Linked DNA regions of Kluyveromyces lactis. The protein of the gene in region 1 binds, or shares a complex with, the protein of each later gene. Links are inferred from orthologs where the notes say so. Each region holds a gene or a part of one and is shown in the gene's direction. Other genes may lie near its edges. The genes, in order: SWI3, SNF11 and SWP82.

Evidence for each region.
Region 2: SWI3 (region 1) and SNF11 share a complex: the UniProt entries of both Saccharomyces cerevisiae proteins name them as parts of the SWI/SNF global transcription activator complex. The link is inferred for Kluyveromyces lactis from reciprocal best matches to the Saccharomyces cerevisiae genes SWI3 and SNF11.
Region 3: the proteins of SWI3 (region 1) and SWP82 are in contact, whole or in part, in a cryo-EM structure (PDB 7EGM), measured with the Saccharomyces cerevisiae proteins. The link is inferred for Kluyveromyces lactis from reciprocal best matches to the Saccharomyces cerevisiae genes SWI3 and SWP82. Residues at the interface, in NP_012359.1 of Saccharomyces cerevisiae: Ile299, Pro300, Gln301, His303, Arg345, Asn348, Phe349, Asn352, Ser353, Leu356, Asn357, Asn359, Glu360, Tyr361, Phe362, Ser363, Thr365, Thr366, Arg369, Asn370, Leu399, Pro401, Lys402, Ile404, Glu405, Pro406, Pro407, Arg415, His416, Asp417; in NP_116605.1 of Saccharomyces cerevisiae: Leu240, Arg241, Pro242, Ser243, Phe318, Val320, Tyr442, Gly445, Leu446, Pro447, Leu448, Tyr449, Glu450, Thr453, Glu456, Arg457, Glu468, His471, Leu472, His473, Asp474, Ala475, Val476, Val478, Asn479, Thr480, Leu482, Gln483, Arg486, Lys487.

Annotation. Positions count from the first base shown.
Region 1 is NC_006037.1:578,622-586,412, reverse strand, and holds SWI3 (Swi3p), read left to right. Parts: upstream 1-3,124; coding exon 3,125-6,016; downstream 6,017-7,791. Other genes in the region: KLLA0_A06446g (uncharacterized protein), read right to left, coding at 1,754-2,620; CCAAT displacement transcription factor COY1, read left to right, coding at 6,356-7,791. UniProt on the Saccharomyces cerevisiae protein: Involved in transcriptional activation. Component of the SWI/SNF complex, an ATP-dependent chromatin-remodeling complex, which is required for the positive and negative regulation of gene expression of a large number of genes.
Region 2 is NC_006041.1:899,251-905,142, reverse strand, and holds SNF11 (Snf11p), read left to right. Parts: upstream 1-4,993; coding exon 4,994-5,392; downstream 5,393-5,892. Other genes in the region: PAA1 (polyamine acetyltransferase), read right to left, coding at 194-775; RNA-binding protein LSM5, read left to right, coding at 1,688-1,942; IPT1 (inositolphosphotransferase), read right to left, coding at 2,186-3,790. UniProt on the Saccharomyces cerevisiae protein: Involved in transcriptional activation. Component of the SWI/SNF complex, an ATP-dependent chromatin remodeling complex, which is required for the positive and negative regulation of gene expression of a large number of genes.
Region 3 is NC_006040.1:501,935-509,102, reverse strand, and holds SWP82 (Swp82p), read left to right. Parts: upstream 1-3,660; coding exon 3,661-5,193; downstream 5,194-7,168. Other genes in the region: PEP4 (proteinase A), read right to left, coding at 319-1,548; KLLA0_D05907g (putative short-chain dehydrogenase/reductase), read left to right, coding at 2,396-3,277; KLLA0_D05863g (uncharacterized protein), read right to left, coding at 5,284-6,597; KLLA0_D05841g (SelT/SelW/SelH family protein), read right to left, coding at 6,965-7,168. UniProt on the Saccharomyces cerevisiae protein: Involved in transcriptional activation. Component of the SWI/SNF complex, an ATP-dependent chromatin remodeling complex, which is required for the positive and negative regulation of gene expression of a large number of genes.

The DNA of each region.
Region 1 (7,791 bases):
AATCATTCGAACATTAAAAGAAACTGCAGAAAATAAAACACGCCGCTATCCCAAAAATTAAGCTATGGCTCAGCCCGTCTCTAGTTCTAGCGTACAAATCACTTTTTCGTACGAGAGAGACACCGAAGAGTATATACTGGATCCAAGTTATTGTATATCGGCAAAAGAGGTGTGCTTTTCCCACAGAACAGAACGCTATTAGATTGTGAAACACTGCGAAAGAACTTTAACTGGGCTTAGTTGTGGCAGGACTTCAAAGCGCTCTTTACTAAGTAGAATGCGAAAAAATCGAATAGCAACAACTGTCAGAAACAGACATAGAAAATGAGTTTTGCTCGAGAGTGATTTTTTTTCGCCTGTCGAGGAAACCAGTTACGTCGTCTTCTACACTATATCAAAACGACATTGTGGCACTTTTGTGTAACCAGTGGCAACGAGATCCGAGAACATAGTGCGATGTATGGGTGTCACGGAACAATTAACAGGAAAATTCTTTTCAAAATTAAAGTTCCGTCATTCAAATGCGGAACAGCTTTTGTGCTGTAATCTCTGTGAGAGATCTTTTTCAGAAAAAGCTCGCACCAAGTTATTCCTATTGGACCCTTGAAATCGGAAAAAAAGTTAAATCTGAGAAACAGGCAAAAACAGAGAAAAGCAAACTGAAGGTCAGGTGACCTAATTTCCACTAATGCGCATTCTTTCTGGTCACAAGCTACCCTGAACAAATGACGTTTCTTTCGCTCGTATTATATGCATTTGATATCAATTGACTATTTAATATACACCGTTATCTGGCGAGTATCGCTATGCTTTCACCACAAGCTGTTAAGTCGTTGTAGGTATAACAACATTGTTATATTTGGAATTATCACATTATGGAATATCAATAGCGGATGCTTGTGGGGATCATATATTCTTCATCTCGAATTTAATATGATAATTTCTTCTGTACTCAATATCTATCCCGAGTAAGTCGTTGTTGGATACGCCATTCTCCTCCATCAAGCCATTATTCACGACTATTGAATCCATACATGTGTCAATTGCCCTTGATCAGTGCCAATGAATGTGATGTCTTCTACAAATGTACAAACGATGATTGATAGGGTTTGGTCCACACGATTGTATTTAGAATTTCTTCAGATCTGATAATAGCCACGCGGTTATTATATCTAGTTGTGTTAAACTCAACACTGTAGTTAATGCATATTAGTGAATTTTATTGGCCTCCAACCCTTTTTTGTAGGTTAATCATCGTGTTGGTCTTCGCATTCTTTACGGTAATGAAGATTAACATCATGTTAAGACCTTTCTTTGGTTCTACCTCTTTGATGTCAAGTAAAGTCTGATTCCATGTTTCTCTTCTGCACAGTTAGAATATTACAGACCAGTAAGCTTCTCTGAATTGTTTACGTTCAGTGTGGTTATCATTCCTTGAGAGTGCCTGTTGATAGCTTAGTGATCTATCTATTTTGGTCTGTGCTATCCGTGGTACACTTTGTAACGCCTGGATTGAGGAAATGTAGAAACGTCCTTTTTGTTTCATACGGTCAAAATTGGAGTCCGGACTCTCTTTAATCATTAAATTGACTATTATATGAAAATCCATTTGTGGATCAGGTTCATCCGTTATAAAGTAGTCTTTATCTGATACTTGAACCACTTATATCCTATCCTCCACTCCTCCTACCAAGAATCAGTAGTTGTCGGTTGTAAGATTGTTTGGATGACCATTGTAGTTTTTGGGATTTTTCTAGTCCCAGAATTTATTCCGTTGTTTGAAGGATTTATTCCTGTCATCGATTCTCCTATCAGTGTTTTCGAGTGTTCTCTTTTGTTTAGTCATTTTGCTAAACCTCAATTCCTTCTTTAATTCTAGGATTATCTCAGTGGTTTGATTTGTAGGTGGTTTGCTGATGGGATGTATGCTATCAAAACCATGGTAAATCATAATATGTCTGTACACTTTGTCGGCCAGGATAGTATCCAAGTGAGGTAAATTGCATTTTTTGAAAGCTTCAACTAAGTCTGTTAAAGTTTTTATTAAACCCTTCACCTTGTAACGAGGATTTACTTCGAAGAATTTGACTCTATGCTCCAGTAAATAAGGATTGTATTTCTTATGGATATAGTCCATAGCAATGGTGGGAATGTCGGCATAATCCTCACGGAATTTCTCTCGATGAGCTTCCAACCATTCTGGGTTTTCTGGTAGAGATACTACTCTTTCATATACGTCTTGCCACCATGCGACTTGATCTGAATTGATACCGTCGAATAGAGTTGTATTTGAGAAGTCAAACTTATCTTCATACCCACAATAAGTGAAGTATTTATAAATATCAAACAACCATTTTTCTAAGAAGTCTTTTGTTTTGACCTCTCTGATATGAACATCATATTTTGCCTTTTCACACGGGAAAGGACTAAAGATGTTATCTTTTAGGTACCGTGTAATACTCGAACTATATTCATCTGTTACTTCCTTGATTGAGTAATTGTTGAACAGCTTTTTGTTGTTTGAACCTGTGGCGCTACCATATTGAGTCCCGGAAGCTCTCTGTTCAGTGTTACCCTGACATGATGATATTCCTTCGCTCATATTATCTGTATCTGACATCAATTGACTATTTATTATACACCGTTGTGTGGTCTGTATTCCTCCCTCTCCCCACCATCATCTTTCCATTATATAATGCCTAATCATCCTATGAGTTGGCATAAGATTGATTCTTCTCTTCTATTTGTACTTCTCTATCTCGTATATGATAAAAGAGTTGTCACGTAATAGTTCTTTCTATCTCGTATACTTTCGTATAGATGGATCTTAACACTTAACATATCACGTGCACAAAGGTATCATCTATTACCCGGACACAAATGGTCTTCCTTAGGAAAGATGTTTCGTCCTGTTTTAACAATGTTAAAATAAACAATTTCAAGTAAACAGACATTAAGTCAGGTTTGGGCCAGTTCAATCTAAAGCATCGATCAATTTTCGCGTCATTGCTACTACTTTTCAGCTTGTCATCACTCATCAGTTATTCTGACTCCACTTCTTTGTTGACAAGTGAAGGAAAGCAATTCGCCTGAGGAAGATTATAGTTTATACACGGATTTTTTAATGGCAGATGACGAACAACGGGACTCTGTTCTTGAGTCTGCACAAACTCAGAGCTCAGTAGAGAATACCCAAAACACGTCAGAACAACCTGGTTTGATAGACCATACCGAGGATGTAGATATGGGAGGAATTGATGATAACTTGGACATGGACGTTGAACCTAATCTACCTGATGATTTTGGTAACGAATTCTCAGAATCTTTGCCGCAAGACTTCCCTGAAGAGTTCGGCGATGCACCATTGGCCGAAAACCTCCCTGAAGGAATAAACGATAAGCTTTTATCGAATCTGGATAATGAGAACGGTGACGCGGACGATGCAGATCTATTTGAGGAAGAACCCGAGGAACAAAACCCTGCTAATGAAGCATCCGAATCTGATTTGTTGAAATCCCCATCTAAAGAAGACGATACTACCGCAGCAGGTAATGAGGAACAAGAACAAGAACAAGAACAAGAACAGGACGAACAAATGGATAAAGAGAATGACGAAATCGCGTTGCCAGAAACTAAAAAGGAAAGCGATTCGAACGGCGAGGGGAACAATGACCCTGTTGGAAATATAGAAACTGAACAGAGCGAGGTAGAACCTGCACAGAACGAACTGGAAACTGCCAATGACAAACAAGAGCCAGCACCAGAACCAGAATCATTTACTGAAAACCCCAAATTACCAGACGTGAAGGACTTAGGGCAGCCCGATTCTGGTATAGATGCTCCAGTACATACTACAACAGAGACAACAGTTGATGAAGAAATTGATAAAGAGCACAATACTGAAGCAGAAGCAGAACCTGAAGTAGATAGTATTCTTGAACAAGAATCGAGATCAGCTTCTCCTGAATCAAATATAACCGTAAAGCAAGAAAGTAATACTGCTGATCCAAAATTATTTGTACCGCAATCCCATGAAATTGTAATCCCTTCATACTCGAAGTGGTTTAATTTGACCAAAGTTCATGAAATCGAAGTGAAATCTTTACCGGAATTCTTCACTAATAGAATACCTTCAAAGACACCCCAGATGTACGTCAAATATCGTAACTTCATGGTAAACTCTTATAGACTAAATCCAAATGAATACTTCACAGTCACTGCAGCTAGAAGAAACCTTTGTGGAGACGCGGGCGCCCTCTTCAGACTACATAAATTCTTAACCAAATGGGGATTGATCAACTATCAAGTAAATGCTACCAAGAAACCTAAAATGGTTGAACCCCCATTCACTGGTGAATATGAGACGAGATACGATGCTCCGCGTGGATTATTCCCATTCCAATCTTATAAGCCGGCCCTACAACTTCCTGATATGACCCGCTTAAAAAAGATAATGACTCAGTTAGACACCAAACCCTCGGAACCATCATCTTTGAAAAGGACTAGTGATGAAATCTCCAGTGAGCACACTCAAGATTTGTCAAACGGGGGATCCAGTCACGTTAATGGTATCACTAACAAAACGGCTTCGGGTTCTGTGGGACCAGAGAACTACGGCCTGAAGGATGAAAAGGAGTCTCCAGTGAATGCCGACCTTGAGAGAAACGATCGCAAACCCAAAAGACCAAAGATTTCTCAACTGATTGACAAAGATTGGACCCAAGAAGAAATCTATAAACTTATCGAACTTATTAAAGAGCATGGCACCGATTGGTTTAACATTGCCAAAACTCTAGGAACAAAGACTCCGGAGCAATGTATTTTAAGGTTTTTACAATTGCCTATTGAAGATGCATTTTTGATGGATGAAAAAGATCTCGGACTCTTGAAGTTTGGTTCTCATATTCCTTTCAATAAATCTGACAACCCCGTAATGAGTACGTTGGCATTTTTAATAGGGTTAGTCGATCCTAACATTGTTCAGCATTTGACTAAAAGGGCCATTTCTCTTCATGACATTAATGTTAATACGGGTGCTAACACGGAAGCAAAAGACGCAGAAGAAAGGCAGGAAGAACAAAAAGAAGAACAAACAGAGGAATCAAAAGAAGAACAAAAAGAAGAAATAAAAACTGACGCCAGGGAAATTGAGCATACAGAAACGGGAGCTGAAAAATCTGAACCTGCAAATTCAAATGCCGCAGATCACTCCACAGCAACTGAAGGAACTGCTCCAGCAGCAGAACAAGTAGCAAATTCAGATGTAACTGTTGACACTTCAAATGAGAAAAATGCAAATACACCAGAGAATGAAGAAAAAGAAGCAACAGAAGTAAGAGCTGAAAAAACAGGAGAAGAAGGGCTACAAAAAGCGGAAGAAAAGAATAAAGAGGAAGGTAGTCAAGAAGAAGCGATTCCAGTGGAAGAACCTCATCAAGAAGAATCTTTAGAGAATGAAGCATTATCAAACAAGGAAACACCATCGGAAAAACAAGAGCTGCCAGAAGAACAAGCAGTAACGGTCACAAATGCTGAATCTGATGCTAGAATAACAGTGAAGGACGGCACAGAAGTCGCTCTAGCTACCTTGGGGCTACGCTCTCATGTATTCGCTACCAACCAAGAAAAATTGATGAATAGGACGACAAATGATTTAATCAATACTCAACTAACAAAAGTCGATTTGAAGTTGAAGGCTCTTGATACCATGGAAAAATCCTTGGAACTAGAGCGCAAGGCTGTGCATAGGAAGCAAGAAGATGTTTTCATTCAAAGGCTAAGCTTCACCAAGTATGCCAACTCTCTTATGGGAAAATTTGAATCTTTACTGAAGCAAATTCCGGAATCTCCAGAAATCAAACAGCAATTACACGAATTACGTACCATAATTGCTGATCCACCAAAGACAAGTATCACATCCCAATCGGGTAATCTACAAGATTCTGATGATCTAGACTCCGCCAACAAACCAATATCGATTGAGTCACCGCAGTTATATCGTTATTGGTCAGGTTAATAATATAGACAATATTCATGTATTATATAGCCTCGTAACATTATATTAATTTAAACTATTGAAACAACACAAAAAGTCAAGCCTCTCCTTGTCCAAATGCAACATCTTCGTTGGAGTAAATCCTACTTGTTTTTTCCTTTGTACCTTGTCTTCAGGAATTATGTCCGTATGCTATATTGTCTTTAAAATATGAAAATATTGGAAACCTTCAAAAAAAATAGCTTTAACTAAACACGAATACGATATTTAATATTCCCAATATCAGAACAATTGAATGATACTGGTATTCGTTGTAAAGGTCGGATTTGCATTATTAAGGACCCAGTAACAAGTTCTGCGATGAATTTGTCTACATATGAGCATGCGTTGTCATTGTGGAAAGAAGCTGGCTTCAGCAGTATACAATCGTTACTTGATGATAGCATAGCTAAGATAAAGGATTTAGAAACTTCATCCTTGGAATCAAGAAAAACGTTAGCCAGTGAGACCAAGAAGTACAAGAAATTGCCAGATGATGAGAAACCTAGCCAATCTTTGAAATTAGTGAAAGAATACCAGAAGGAGATTGATTCGTTGACTACCAGATCAACGTTCTCCGAAAAGGTTGTTATCGAATTATATGAGAAGTTAATTGAACAACCGGACCCAACAGGGATCCTAGAGTCTATTGTAGAGGAACTGAAGAAAGATGGCACAAATGTCGATGATATCAAAGCTGAAAACCAAAAATTGGCGGCAATTGTTAGCAAGTGTGCCGATTATGACACTTTAAAGAAAAGATTATCGGATCTTGAACAAAATTCGGCTAAGACATTATCCAATAGATTAATCGCCAAAGAGAAAGAAATTACATCCAAATGGGAAGAAAAGCAACGTAATTGGAATAATAGAGAGGACGAATTATTGAAACAGTTAGAAACGTTGAAAAATACCAATAGCATCTTGGAAAAGAAAATAGGTGCTCAGGTCGATTTGGAGCAACAAGAAGATGGCGATGATGACACCGTTCTCGTTAGTGGAAAGAATAGCGCTCAAAGTGAGCTTCTGGTACAAGAACTTGAGGCTGCACAAATTCGTATCATGAGTCTTGAATCACGTAATGAAGAATTAAATTCTGAGGTAACCAAATTGAAGAGCGATGAACAACAGGATTCCATATTTCAAGAGAAAGAGACTAAATTGAACCAATTGGAAAGTGAAAATGCTAAATTGGTTACATGTTTAGAAGAAGAACGCAAGAGTTTGAAGGAAACATCCCAAACGTTGAGCTCACAATTGAAATCATCTGCACTTGAAACGCAGACTTATAAATCGGAATTAGAGACATTGAGACGCAAGTTAACGAACTACTCAGATTATGAAAAAATAAAGCAAGAATTGAATGCCATGAAGAAGATTGAATTCGGAACCAGTGATGACAGTGACAACGAAAACGATGATGGTGATGACTCTATCACCAGTTCATTGAAACATGCGAACCAAAAACTCCAAAATAATTTGGTGAAGGCCAATACTGAAAAGAACAAATATATGAACGAAACCCAAACGCTCAAGAAAAGCATAGAAGCTTTATATTCTAAGATTCAAAATCTAGAAACTTTGAATGCGAAATTAGAAGCAGACATTGAGAAGGTCGAAGATGTAACGAACCAATTCTCCGATACACAATCAATGATGTCAGGGGCAACAAGGCAAATAAGTAATAGACATGCCACTAACGAAAAACTATCTCCTACAAGCTCAATCATTGGAATACCAGAAGAAAAAGAACTAGA
Region 2 (5,892 bases), on another chromosome or scaffold:
AACATTATCTTATTTAGTATCGTTTATATATACTTTTCTGTTAGAATACAGCAGTTACCAGGTATATCAGCTCAGATAACTACTACATGTAAAAGTTGCATCTGAGAGTTGAAATCCACCTTGATCTTCTTATTTTACTGCCGGATGATGGTTTGATTTTTCCTGTTTCCTTTTCATGCAAGTAAGGACCTGTTCAAGTCTCATACTCTTCCTTCACCAATTCTCTAACCATATTACACCAAACTTTGCCATTGCTTGAGATGACGTCTTTATTGTCACCAACAGATCTGAACCCGATTCTTTCATAAAATGGTACCAGCTCGTTATGGGCAATGATAACAATTCTGTCTCCGATTTCTTGGTTAGACATCTTTTGGATGTAATCTGTCAATAGTAGAGTAGCTAGGTTCTTCTTCTGATGTTGTGGAGCAATGACGACAGAATGCACTCCAATGACAGGAGAAGAATCGTCTTGTGTGAAACTCATGCTTTCGTTGGTAATAAAAGTTAATTCCTTGGTACCGTTTTTTGGGATGGGGATCTTGGTACCAAAGATATGGCCAATCAACTTTTCTCCCAAAATCTCAGTGCCTTTAACGTCTCTAATGAAAAGACCCGAGCTCAATTCGGGGCACATCTTCAATCTGAATTCGATCTTCTCCTTTCCAGCCCTTTCTTCAGGTGGGAAGCCTTGTGCCTCTAGCTCTACTGATGCTTGGCAATCTTCTATCGTTAATGGTCTAATATAAACATGCAGTGGCAATGACGATGACATAGTGAAAATTCTTTTCTGATTTTATAATACTTAATAATGATTTCCTAATGTTGTTTCTTCAATTCTAGCCACAATAATACAATTATTTGCTCCTTATTCTAGTTTGCTTCTAAAATCAATCGAACCTTATTATCAACAATGGTATTCAACTCCTAGACCAATTGATTTTATCAACTAGTGTTAGACAGATATGATGTCTTTGTGAACTGCTCAATAACGGAAGTGATAGTCTTGTGAGATGTGTGTCTATATGTATTTGTTATCCTTATCCTTATCATCATATGTAAAACCTTAGTATATATGATTGATATTGCAATTGAATTGTTATTTTGATATTGTACAAAGGAGAAACAACAGTTGCGGCAAGAATATAGAAATTACGCACCACTTGGTAGGAATTTGTGAGTGATAACCAAATCTAAAGTTGACAGAACCTGTAAATACCGGACTGGCAAGTTGAATGGTCACCAGAGGCTTAATCTTGGACCAGAACGCCAATCATCACAGCTGGTGAACAGTGTCTCAGGGACACCTGATGTTCGTGTTTAGTGAGATGTCATGTGACCCGTACCGTCCGTTCCTAGCGAAATTGCATGTTGTTTAAGCCTTTGTAGCCAACAGCACCATCAAGTCGATGCCAATAGATACAACATTCTTGGCCTACCTTGTAGCAGCTTTTAAGGCTTTTTATGGGCTCATTTCTTTACTTTATTGCCTTCTTTCGGCCAACTACGCTTACTTTCACCATACAATCACATATTGAGAGAGCTTTGAAAGTTTCAAGAAATAAGTACCTTTGATCAAAGAGATAAAGCTGTGAGCTGACGACAACTACTGTCTATTAGTATCATTAGACTATTAAAACCTCCTGCTCTACTACTGCATCAACACATATTTATAAAACGACGGGATATGAGTAGTGTTTCAGAGATTTTGCCCCTAGAGGTCATTGACAAAACAATAGGACAGGAAGTGACCATTCTACTTAAAGATTACAGAGAATTCTTTGGTACGCTAGTAGGGTTCGATGATTACGTTAATGTTGTCATTGAAAATGCGGTAGAGTATTTGGAAGACCAGGAGATTAAAAGATTCCAGGGAAAGATGTTATTGACTGGTAACAACATTGCTATGTTGATACCTGGTGGAAAACCTGCTTCAAATTAAACAATGGAACTGCATATTGATGTTCAAAACGAAATCTGTAACATGCATGCTGTTTTTTTCTCTCTCAGATGTTTGGTATTGATATATTGACTAACATCCTTTGTAAGTATATATTATATATTTTATATGTAAAATAATTATCATATTGAAGTGCAGCTTATACAAAAAATGAATCAATGCAAACGTACGAGACGTTTGATATACCGTATCCGAAGGTTTGTTGATTTTTGTTGTTCAACTATATCATGCCAAGGGATCGAAAAACCATTCGATCTTAGTGTTTTCAAAAACTCTCATACCCATAGTTTTTGACTCTTTCATTTTGTCCAAGGTAGGATCAGCCCTGGTTATTAGCCAAGGCTTGATAACTTTTGGTTGCAAGACGTATTTGTTGATCAAGATGTATGAGATTACAGCATAAACGGCACCGACGAATAAATCGTATCTGAAATGGTGATCCAAATATTGGGTTGACCACCATTGTAAGCATACGAAAATCGTACCCAAAAATTTTGGTAACAGACCTTTATGGAAAATGTAGAGCCATTTGGACTCTAGAATATGAACTGGCAAAACCTGCTGTTTGGCAAGGATTTTAGCAACAGCCAACGTATTTAGTTCTGAATCCGAGTCAGAAGTCGTTGCGCGTGCTTCCAAGTCGTCATCCCCACCGTTAGTTGTTTGTAAAGTTATGCTATTAATATGTGAAACGAGTTTACTTTCGACGCTGTCACTATCATCAGCAAAATCGTCATCCTCGAACTCGAAGGGAATAATGGATTTGTTAGGTTGGACCTTAACATTCGTATAACCTTGTTCTTCTTCATCTTGTTCTTCATCCATCTCATAGTCATCATCTTCATCCTTTTGAAGAATGACAGGAGCAGCATCCGTAGCGATCGATTCCGGCACAGATTTCGTTTGTGTAGACCTGAACAAAAGGAAGAAGAAGCATTGTACAGCCATAGCCGAATGTAGTGACGGCACGGCACCGAACACGATTGGCGAGAGATGGAACCCATTCGAATTGAGATGAGTTCCAAGATGCATGTCGACCCTAGTCAACCCAGCAGCGTAACCCGGTTGACTGTAGTTCAAATGAGCCGTATCATGGGCACCGTACATATGTATGAACCATGGTGGAGCCATTGGTAATAAAAAGTGAGTGAAGAGCCCAACGATATTTTGTAAACCTAATGCGAATGAGAAGCATTTCAACGTACCTGGGATGTGGAAAACGTACAAATACACACCAGTAAGAATGGGCCCAGTGAGATGCAGAATCACGTACATCACCCAAGCCAATAAGTCCTTGAACTTGGTGAAATTCGACGGATCCTGACTGGATAAAAGGTGATCGAAATTCAACATCACAAATGTAAAGAACAAGAATAGAAAGGGTAACACGTTTCTCATCCTGCTAGGTCGGAATTGAGATGAACCGATATAATTCAAAGGGTATTGTAGCAAGACGTCTGTCTCATCGAACAGGTTATGCCTCAATTTCTTGGTATAATAAACATAGTACCAGATGAACAATGGCACCACAGCAAATAAGATACCGATGATACTACTGCTCACGAGAGACACCACGAATTCCAACCTGGTATCAAGAGAATGCCAGTAATCACCAAAAATATACGCATCACAATAATAAGCGACGCTACCCCAAATGGGTGGTCGCCAATTGGTAGGTATGACACCTGCATTCTTGAACATAAACAACCATATAAAGATTGGTGAGAAATTCAAACAAAAATTCAAAGCCAGTGTGAAGACATTGCGTTGATTTACACCACCCAAATATACCCTTTTGATGAACCACGGGATCCAAAGTAAGCACTCCATGTCTTGGAGTAGGGAACTTTCAGCTGAAAACGAAAATCCACACACAGACAAACAAATAGAAAGCTTGTTAACTAAATACTATCAAAGGACGATGAGATAGAACCTTGAGAAACCTTAGAGAAACTTTTGATATGCAAAATGATTCGAAAAGAGAAATACCAGAAAAAAACCTGAAAAAAACCACAAGGCAAAGAGAATAAACAGCGGGTGGCTTAAGCCTGGATTCCTCTTAATACCTTGCCACTACTTAAGTTATCGACTAGATGAAGTATCAAACATCACAAGATTAACAAGATTTACTAGTTGGCATTAACGTCTATCAACAAAATGGATGGACATATTTGTATATATATTTAATACTTTATTTTGCAGAGAGTTACGTATTTTAAGATGGCTGCGGATTTAGTAAAGCAATTCGAAAAGAAAAGAACTAATATGGCAAGGAACAGTTTCGGTAATAAAGAGTTTCCAGTTGAAAGGTAACCGTTTTATGGTGGATTTTCTGATCGGACGTACTGCCAGCAGGGCCGAAAAGAAATGGGTGAGGTTCCTACGCTGGGAACTGGTCCGTCTTGTGACTTAAACCCACGAAAATATGCGGTAACTTGACTGAGAGAAACTGAGAGATGGTACGTTTTTCGTCTGGCTATGGAATTAGGTAGGAATTCAGTTTATGCGTCCTTCGTTGTGGCCTAAGGCTAAGAATTTGTTGGCTGAGCTTTTTCTATTGTAACTGAAAACATTGTTTGGGATTTCATAATGTGGGGGAATAATGTGAATCGATAGTTATAGTTATGTAATGGTGGCATTTTGAGGCGTTGAAGGGGTGGCAGTAAGGGAGGAAGAGCATTCGTCATCAAAGTGGCTGAGAAACTCTTGCTGTTTCTTTTTTATCAGTCACGTGTTACACACGTGACTGAATGTGTTTTAAACTTAGAAACTTATGTCCTATGAATAGGTGACCGTATAGAGCACGAGTGTCTAGTGTACATAGATATGGCAGCCCAGGGATTTTTGTGATCTTGGAGTGCCTTTAGTCGCTATTATGAACTGGATACTTAGTGGTTTTTTCGTTCCGCTTGAAAATAATTCAAATCACGTTTTAATTCGTCTTACTACTTTGACAGTGAAGGAAGTTCAAAGATAAAAAGATCGACTGACTGACGACTACGGAAAAGTACCCTGCACCCACCCTAGATCAGCATGACAGATCTAAACCCAGCAATAGACCTGAAATCAGACTCAGGAGTCTCACCAAAGCAGAAGCTACAATGGAAAATACAAGTGCTTCTTCATATCAACTCGATGTTGATCAAAAAATCCCAAGAAACAAGAACCATGTACGAAAGCAGACAGGTACCGACACTCGCGTCGCTGTCCAAAGAACAAATGGAACAAATACTAATCCAATATACGAAAAGAATACACTGTAACTTACATACAATATCTCAGATAAATCAAGGAAATCTAGCAGCAAAACCTCCTATCATGGACCCTCCTCCAAACCCATTTCTTTCAAACACTGCTTCAGCTCAGGAAAGACAACAGGATATGCTGGTCAAGATGTATCTATTAATGAATAGAATGTTCCAATTATGGTAGCTTCAACGAACACTGTGCGTACATTGTGTGTACACTGTGTGTACATACATAATATATAGATAAAACGCTCTCATTTTAACGCTCTCTGTAGTTACCTATAATAATACTTGCTCCATTCCGGTATCAGCACCGTATGCAGCAATGCAGCAATGAAGCATAGAACGATTGCGGTCCTTGATAGGCTTCCACAGACATCACCAGATGTTTATCTGTCTTCGATATTCCCTTTAATTCTCAAGTTTCCTGAATTTTTTTTCCGTCCGTGCCATCATGATATGACAATGGCAATTGCCATTGCCATTGCCATTATCAAATCCTCTCATATGGACAAATAAATATAAATATATACAAGTATGTCAATTACGTTAAACGTACTAGTGCTTCGTGAGTATATTTAGATTAGCACTGATTCTAATTGGTATTCTCATCGTTATAATATTAGATAGAAGATCAATCGATTGGACTGGGGGAATAGTTCCATTGTATGAGTGTTTAAATTT
Region 3 (7,168 bases), on another chromosome or scaffold:
GCAATTTATCGACATTTTATGAATCATTTATAGGTAGCCAAAGCCAAAGCCAATTGAATAATGTCCATCGTCTATATATTTAGAGGAAGGAACACAATTGTTTTATGATGAAATAGGAAAGAATTCTTTTAGGTATTTTAAGGTTTATTTGTCACCAAGTGTTGTTATACTTTGTTAGCTAATTCGATTTGTGAAACTGACATTCAATTAATATAGCAGTAAGTTAACCGTCTTATTTAATTATTTTTTTAGAGTTGTCGAGTTAATAGAAGCTGAACTCCAATTCAAAAGGTTACAATTCGATCGCTTTTTTAACAATTAGGCAGCCTTGGCCAAACCAACTGCATCATGACCAATATCATAAATGGAGTAGTATTTACGTAGGAAGGCATCACCAATAATGGCCAAGGGACCAACTGGTTCTGGGAAGTCCATTGGAGTGAATGCAGAGATACAAGACCCAGAGACTTCCAAAGTGTAATCGTATGCGGTAATAGTGAAGTTGTAACCGTTGAAATTCAAAGTTAAGTCTGGTAGACTATCTCTAGATTCACAATCAACGGAGTATTGACCAGACCAGCCCTTCTTTGCACCGATTTCAGCGTTCAAAATTTCAGCCAAACCGCTTGGCAAAGCAATCAAAGAGGTACCGGTGTCGATAGCAGCACCATGACCTTCTAAAGTAGCATATTCTTCACCCAAACCGATACCTTCAAACTTGACTTCCCAGTAAGCCTTACGACGAACAGGCAACCAAGTGATTTCACCGGTGTACTTCTCCTCATCGATACCACCGAAGGAAGCTTCACCGCCATCTTCAGACTTGTCAGAATCACCCAAGTAAAAGGCAAACACTGGGTCATCCAAAAGTTTGTTTTTGATAGCGTTGTACACTGGTGGAACGATTCTGTTAACAGAGATGGAGTCGTAAGCCAACCCCAAAATACCATCGAATTTACCAAAGGCAAATGCCAAACCTGGTTCGCTGGTAGCTTCAGCGAAATCCTGGTCAGGTATCACTAAATCCCCAATGGTCAACAAATCACGAGACACATATCCTTCAAGGGAACCAGAACCATATTGGATAGCAAACTCGGAACCATTAGCTTTGTAAGTGCTAGAAGCCTCATGGTCATATTTGGTGTGCAAGAAACATGCCAAAGAACCACATTCTGCACTTGGAACCCACAAGTTTGATGAACCAGTGTCTAAGATAACCTTAAAAGACTGTGGTGGCGAACCCAAAGTAATTTCTGTGAAATACTGAGCATTCAAGTAATTGGTCAATGGGACACTGTGAGACCCTTCTGGGGCAACGAAAACATCAACGTTATCCTTAGAGAAAGATTCTTGAGGGTAAGCTCTTTGGAAGCTATTTAAGTACTTTTCACCTAGTTGAGCCACATGTTCGGCAAATGGAACATCCTTCAATTGGTCTTCCAATTTATGTTTTTGAATTTTGGCCTTATGAATCTTGGCTTCAGCAACATCAAAAGAAGCCAATAACAATGAAGCTAGAGGCAAAAGAGATTGGAAATTCAAATGCATGCTTATTTTTTTGTTGTAAGAAAGCACCGTTTAATGAACAGTTAGCGGCACAATTTCAGAAAAATTTTGGGGGAAACTGTATAATAGATTTAATCAAGTTCCTCTCCGTTCAAAATACTGACACTACTATATATCTGACCGTCTACCCTGTCTTTAATATAGTTATGTCAACACTTCTATTATCGATGACATTATTCAGACATTGATACCCTTAAAACAAGGTTATTGCATAAACGGCAAAATTAATCGCCCCTTCTTTTTACCGTATTTATATTTGATATTTATATTTTTTATTTATGTTTCTAACTTTACTTTGTTTCAGTGCAATTTGTGTGCACCCTTCTGAGCATACTGTTGAAAATGGAATTGTCGCTGACTGTAGAGCCAGGTTAACCAAGCAAGACATTCAGTCGCTGCGCAGTGTTGTCAAATGTTGATGAATACAGTCATCTGGGAAACGAAGTTTGAACGAGATTACTTTGAAGCAAACTCTCCGTAGGACCAATGCAATACGCGGTGATTGGTGGTTCAAGATAGTTTTACATGAGATCTTTCAGTCACGTGATGGAGGCGGTTTTTCAAGGGGCCGGCCCCTCATAGGGGTGATGGTTGACAGCCAAACCAGTTCACAATCTTCAGGACGAATCGCAATGTCATTAGTCAGACATATTGTCGATAAAAGATCACCGCCGTAACTAATAAGTCGAAGAAATCATATATAGATACTATTTAAGGTAGCTTAGTGCAACGTTGATTGCAGATATGCAGCTTGCACAGTAATATTACCAAGAGTCAAGGGGGAACTATCTATTGTAATTGCATCGGACTAATCTTACATCAAACAACCATGAAGACCAATCCTGATATTGTATATACGAAGGCTCAAAAATTGATTGAACTCAATTTAGATAATAAATATGTTGCTATCGTAGGAGGAACGGGCGGTATTGGCCGTGAGTTGGCAAGAGTGTTGGCACAAAAGGGTGCTAAAGTCATCGTTGTTGGTAGAACGTTCAGAGACGAAAATGTTGAAGGTATTGAATTTATCCAGGCTGACCTAGGTTTGGTGTCAGAGGCATCCAGAGTTGCGGAATTGTTACCTGCTGAAAAGTTGGATCTTCTTATCTTCACTACGGGAGTTTTGGCTCCTCCAGCGAGACGTGAGACTAGCGAAGGTCTAGAAGAAGATTTGGCCGTCAGTTATATCAGCCGACTAGTGATGATGAATCATTTGGTACCCAGATTGAAGGAACATGGTGAGAAAAAACCTCGCGTATTTGTAATGGGTTTCCCCGGTGATAACTATATGGGAGATTATAGAGATTTGAATTCAGAAGAATCTTACGGAGCTATTTCCACACATATGAAAACAGTAGCCGGTAATGAAGCTCTAGTTTTGGACTTTAAGAATAGGTTTGCTACTGTCAATTTTTATGGGTTGAATCCGGGGCTCATCAGGACAAATATTAGAGATAATTACCTTGGTAAAGACACTTGGAAGTCAAGAGTGGTAGAATGGTTCATAGGTATGACAAATCAGACTGCAGAGCAATACGCTGAAAAGTTAGGCCCCTTGCTAGTTGCCCCAGAATTGGAAACTCATTCAGGCGCCATGTTTGACAAGAATGCTAACCCGATCCTTCCATCAAAAGATTTTACTGATGATTACGCCAGGAATTATATCAAGGCCTCAGAAGAACTTCTTGCAAATCTTAAGTTGGCTCAATGAATGACACTACCAACATCTGAAGCCACCGGCACTATTATCTAAGAATCCCGTTTTATTCCTATATTTTAGATACGTTAGTTTGTATGTAACCTAACTGTCGGGTATTTGCTGTGTCAGTTGCTGGTCATCACGTGATCAGTATCTTTATGTATTTTCCATTGTTTTGAAATTGGGTCTTTTCAACATGTAATCTAACTATCGAATGCCTGTCATTAACATAAACGTAAACATATGCATATCTTTCAAAGTACATCGTGAAAGAATTCAATAGACGGTATAAGCTGCGACACTTTCATCCATCCTAATTATATTTGGAACACCACGAGACCTTTCTGGCTGTTGAACAGGATACGTTTATTTGTTTATCTTCACATGCTGGAAAAATGGACTCCAGTACTAACTCATCTGTCACTGCTCAGGTGAATCCGGTGCCAGAATATGTCATAAAGAACCATGAGCTTTTTATTTTGAAAACCACATTATCAATACTCAATAACCCTGAATTACTCTCCGGCAGACTTGACAAGCCACCAACAAAGCAACTTGTACTACCTTCGTTCACCATTAAGGAAAGGTTATCAGACAACAATGACTCTTATGTTTTGGGAAAGGGTGATCAAAATGGGGAAACGAAGGTTGATAAACAAGGACGGTTACATGGAGAAAGGCATTACTTGTTTCCTACTTTCACTTATCCATGTGCGGAAAACAATAATTCGGAAAATTTGTACGTCTTAGTACGGGATTTGATTAGAGTCTTGAATCTAGATGTGGAACAACAAGAGTTTTTGGCTCAGCATCCAGACCTTTACCCAATTAATGCAAAACATGATATTATCGAATTTTTGACCCAGTATAAACTTTTACCTGAAGGTGCTACTGCTGCAACATATATCACAGCTAGATCTGCTTTTCTTGTCTTTGGAGCTGCTATACTAGCATCCGGATCAAGAGTGATAGATGATTACTGGGAACAACTATCCAAAGAACAGGGCTTCCAAGCGCAGCACAGAGTATACGCACTCTCTCAAAAACTTCTCGACATGGTATGTTCGATCGATCCAAGGACTAGAACAGCACATTCTTTAGGTCCACCTGAGCTTCCTGAATCGAAGCAAGCACAAGCGGGCGTTATGTCCACATCACAACCGCAATTCGAAGACCCGTTTTCAACCATTACGGAACTACCGCCTTTAGAAGCACGTAAAGAGTTCTTAAGTAATATTGCTCATGGTGAGCAAACTGCAATCATATCGGGTCAAACTATACATGGAGCAATCGAGTTGAGTACTATTTACAAAATTCCAAAATACCACTATAAGAATTCCTTCGCCGCTGCTCAACAACACAATGTTCTAGATTCCCCGATTGGAACGCACACCCACCCGGTAGAATCTCATAACTTTGGTAGAGGACGTAAAGCTAACTATGTTCCCCCGGAGGAGACAGATGTGTTGGCTCAAATTCCTGGATGGAAATTTACGCAGCTACCAGTTACAACAAATGATGAGTTACCTACAACTTTCAGTGCTGGAGGGTTACCGATATATAATAAGGCGAGACTTCCTGCAAGGTTAAAACTATTGACGCCAAACCAAATAAAAGATTTAGAACGATCCCATGATGTTGTTCATTTGAATACAGCTCTTGGCCATGTCCGAAAGTTAAGAAACACCCGTTGGACTAAATTTTGGCAGTATAAGGCCGGTGCACCTGTTGGCCTTACGGAGGATCAACTTTCGTATTACAAAGAGCAATATCTACAGCAAGTTTTGAACCATGTTGATGTGAGCATTGTGCCAAACGAAACGAAGAATGTAGATGAAAAGCGTACCGTTAAGCGAGTACCGAATCCAAATTTTTTGGGATACTCCAATGTGTCAGGGTTTAGGCCACCTTATGTTGAAAAACCTTAGAATAATAATGCAACTTCATCTATATCGAACTAAATACTGCTAGTAGAAAGCTATGCAATAAAGCTGCAGATATATATAGAGGATAATTCATTATAACAATTTAACTTTAACAATGTCTTGACGAATTTTGAAAGTGTAGTATGCCATAACTAAAACGATTAGTATTAGAGGCAAAATCCACATTAAGAGTCTCTTGACGATTTCGTCAACTGAAACGCCATTTCCAGCATTTTCCATGCTTTGTTTGGTGGCCTCTCTAATCTTTGCTTGATCCTGAAGTAATTGCTCCAACTTATCATTCATAACAAAGAGGTCCTTGAAGGATTCTGTATTTACTTCACCTTCTTTACCCATTGAAGCCACAATAACTTCTAAAGTAGTTGATAGATATTCTAGCTTTCTCAAGTGCGCTGCTTGATTTTCCAAGATGCCAATTAATTTACCGTTTATCACGCTGATGTCATTGGCTAATATCTTGCCCTCAATCTTATCCAATTTCTTGTAAAGTTCGTAGTTGTCCACCTTATTTGCTAAACCCTTCATTTTCATGAAATCTGTTTCTACAACGTCTTCTTTACCAGTATCCTTGTTGATAATCTTTGTTACCAATCTAGGCTGTTCCATAGGGTTAACATTTGGAATTGTAACTTCTTTAGTAAGACCGTTATGAGTATGTACCTTCAGGACTTCAAATGATTCCTTGTTAGCATCATTCTTTGCAGTGATACCCATCTTCATTTTCGCATTTTGTGGGAATTGAATTTGTCTGGTTTGGAAACACACCCTATTATCGACTTGAAGTTTCAATAGGTTATTGTTCTTCCTATCATAACTCAATCTGATAGTGGTTGGAATAGTAGTATCCTGATAGGCTAACAAACAATAGGCAAAAGAATGATCGTACACATTTTTTTCAGTCAATTTCTTAGACCCGTCGTTCAAGATACCACGAACAGAACTACCCACGGGCCCATTGGAATCCACCAAAATTTGAAGCCCATCAAACGCCTCTGGTCCACCGAATAAAGAAGTTCCTCCTGCACTTTTACCCTCCACTAACCAGAAGGACAACCCACCTTCAGATTTCCCTATAAAATCAACACTTCTGAAAGTCCATTCTATGGTGAAGGAGTCCTTAATTTGATAATCAGTCTTGTGCCAAATCGAACTTTGACTGGATGCACTTGGTGTTAAACGAAGTCTCCCTTCCTCCAAAACCAAACCTCCGCTGGTCTTCCAATCTGAAGGCACGGCATTCATGTGAACCAAATCAGGTAAAGAATGACTGGCATCTAGTATATCGTTATCAGACACGGCACTTTCATGTAATTCCGCTTCTGCAATTGCAGCTGCATTTGCAACGGTAATGTATGCGAACAATACAGCCAACCAGTGGACAAACATCTTTTGTTTCAAACGATGTGTGCTGCCCTACACTATTAAGATTGAATTCACTCTACAATAGAATAACAAGAGCAATATCCAATTCACAATACTTGTTCAACAAGGGTTGTAGGTTCCTTCTCGTTTGTTAAAAGAACGTCAATAAACTTATTTTCTTCCATAATTGATTCGATTCAAAATTCGGGTTTCATATCAAGAAAAGGAATATGACAAGACTTAGTATTAACACAAAGAATTACATGAGCTTACCACTGCAACGTTTCAAGCCGCCTAAAAATGTACTTGTGATCCTGTATTAGTTATTTATATAGTTATGAATTACAGTTATTCGTTATAAAGGTAGATTTTCAGTTCTTGTAACATTTATTTATGTCTCACAATCTTTGCATGACGTATTTTGATCATCTGTGGAGCATTGATTGATCTTTTCCGATACTAGAGTTTCTTTAGCCGAGGAAGATTTTGATTTCCTGTCGATATGGGCCCCTATGGCCACTTCATCATTGAAAATAAGAGCCTTTACCCGTTGTTTTAAATATTTACTGTCAGGAAATCCATCGTCCACGACTCT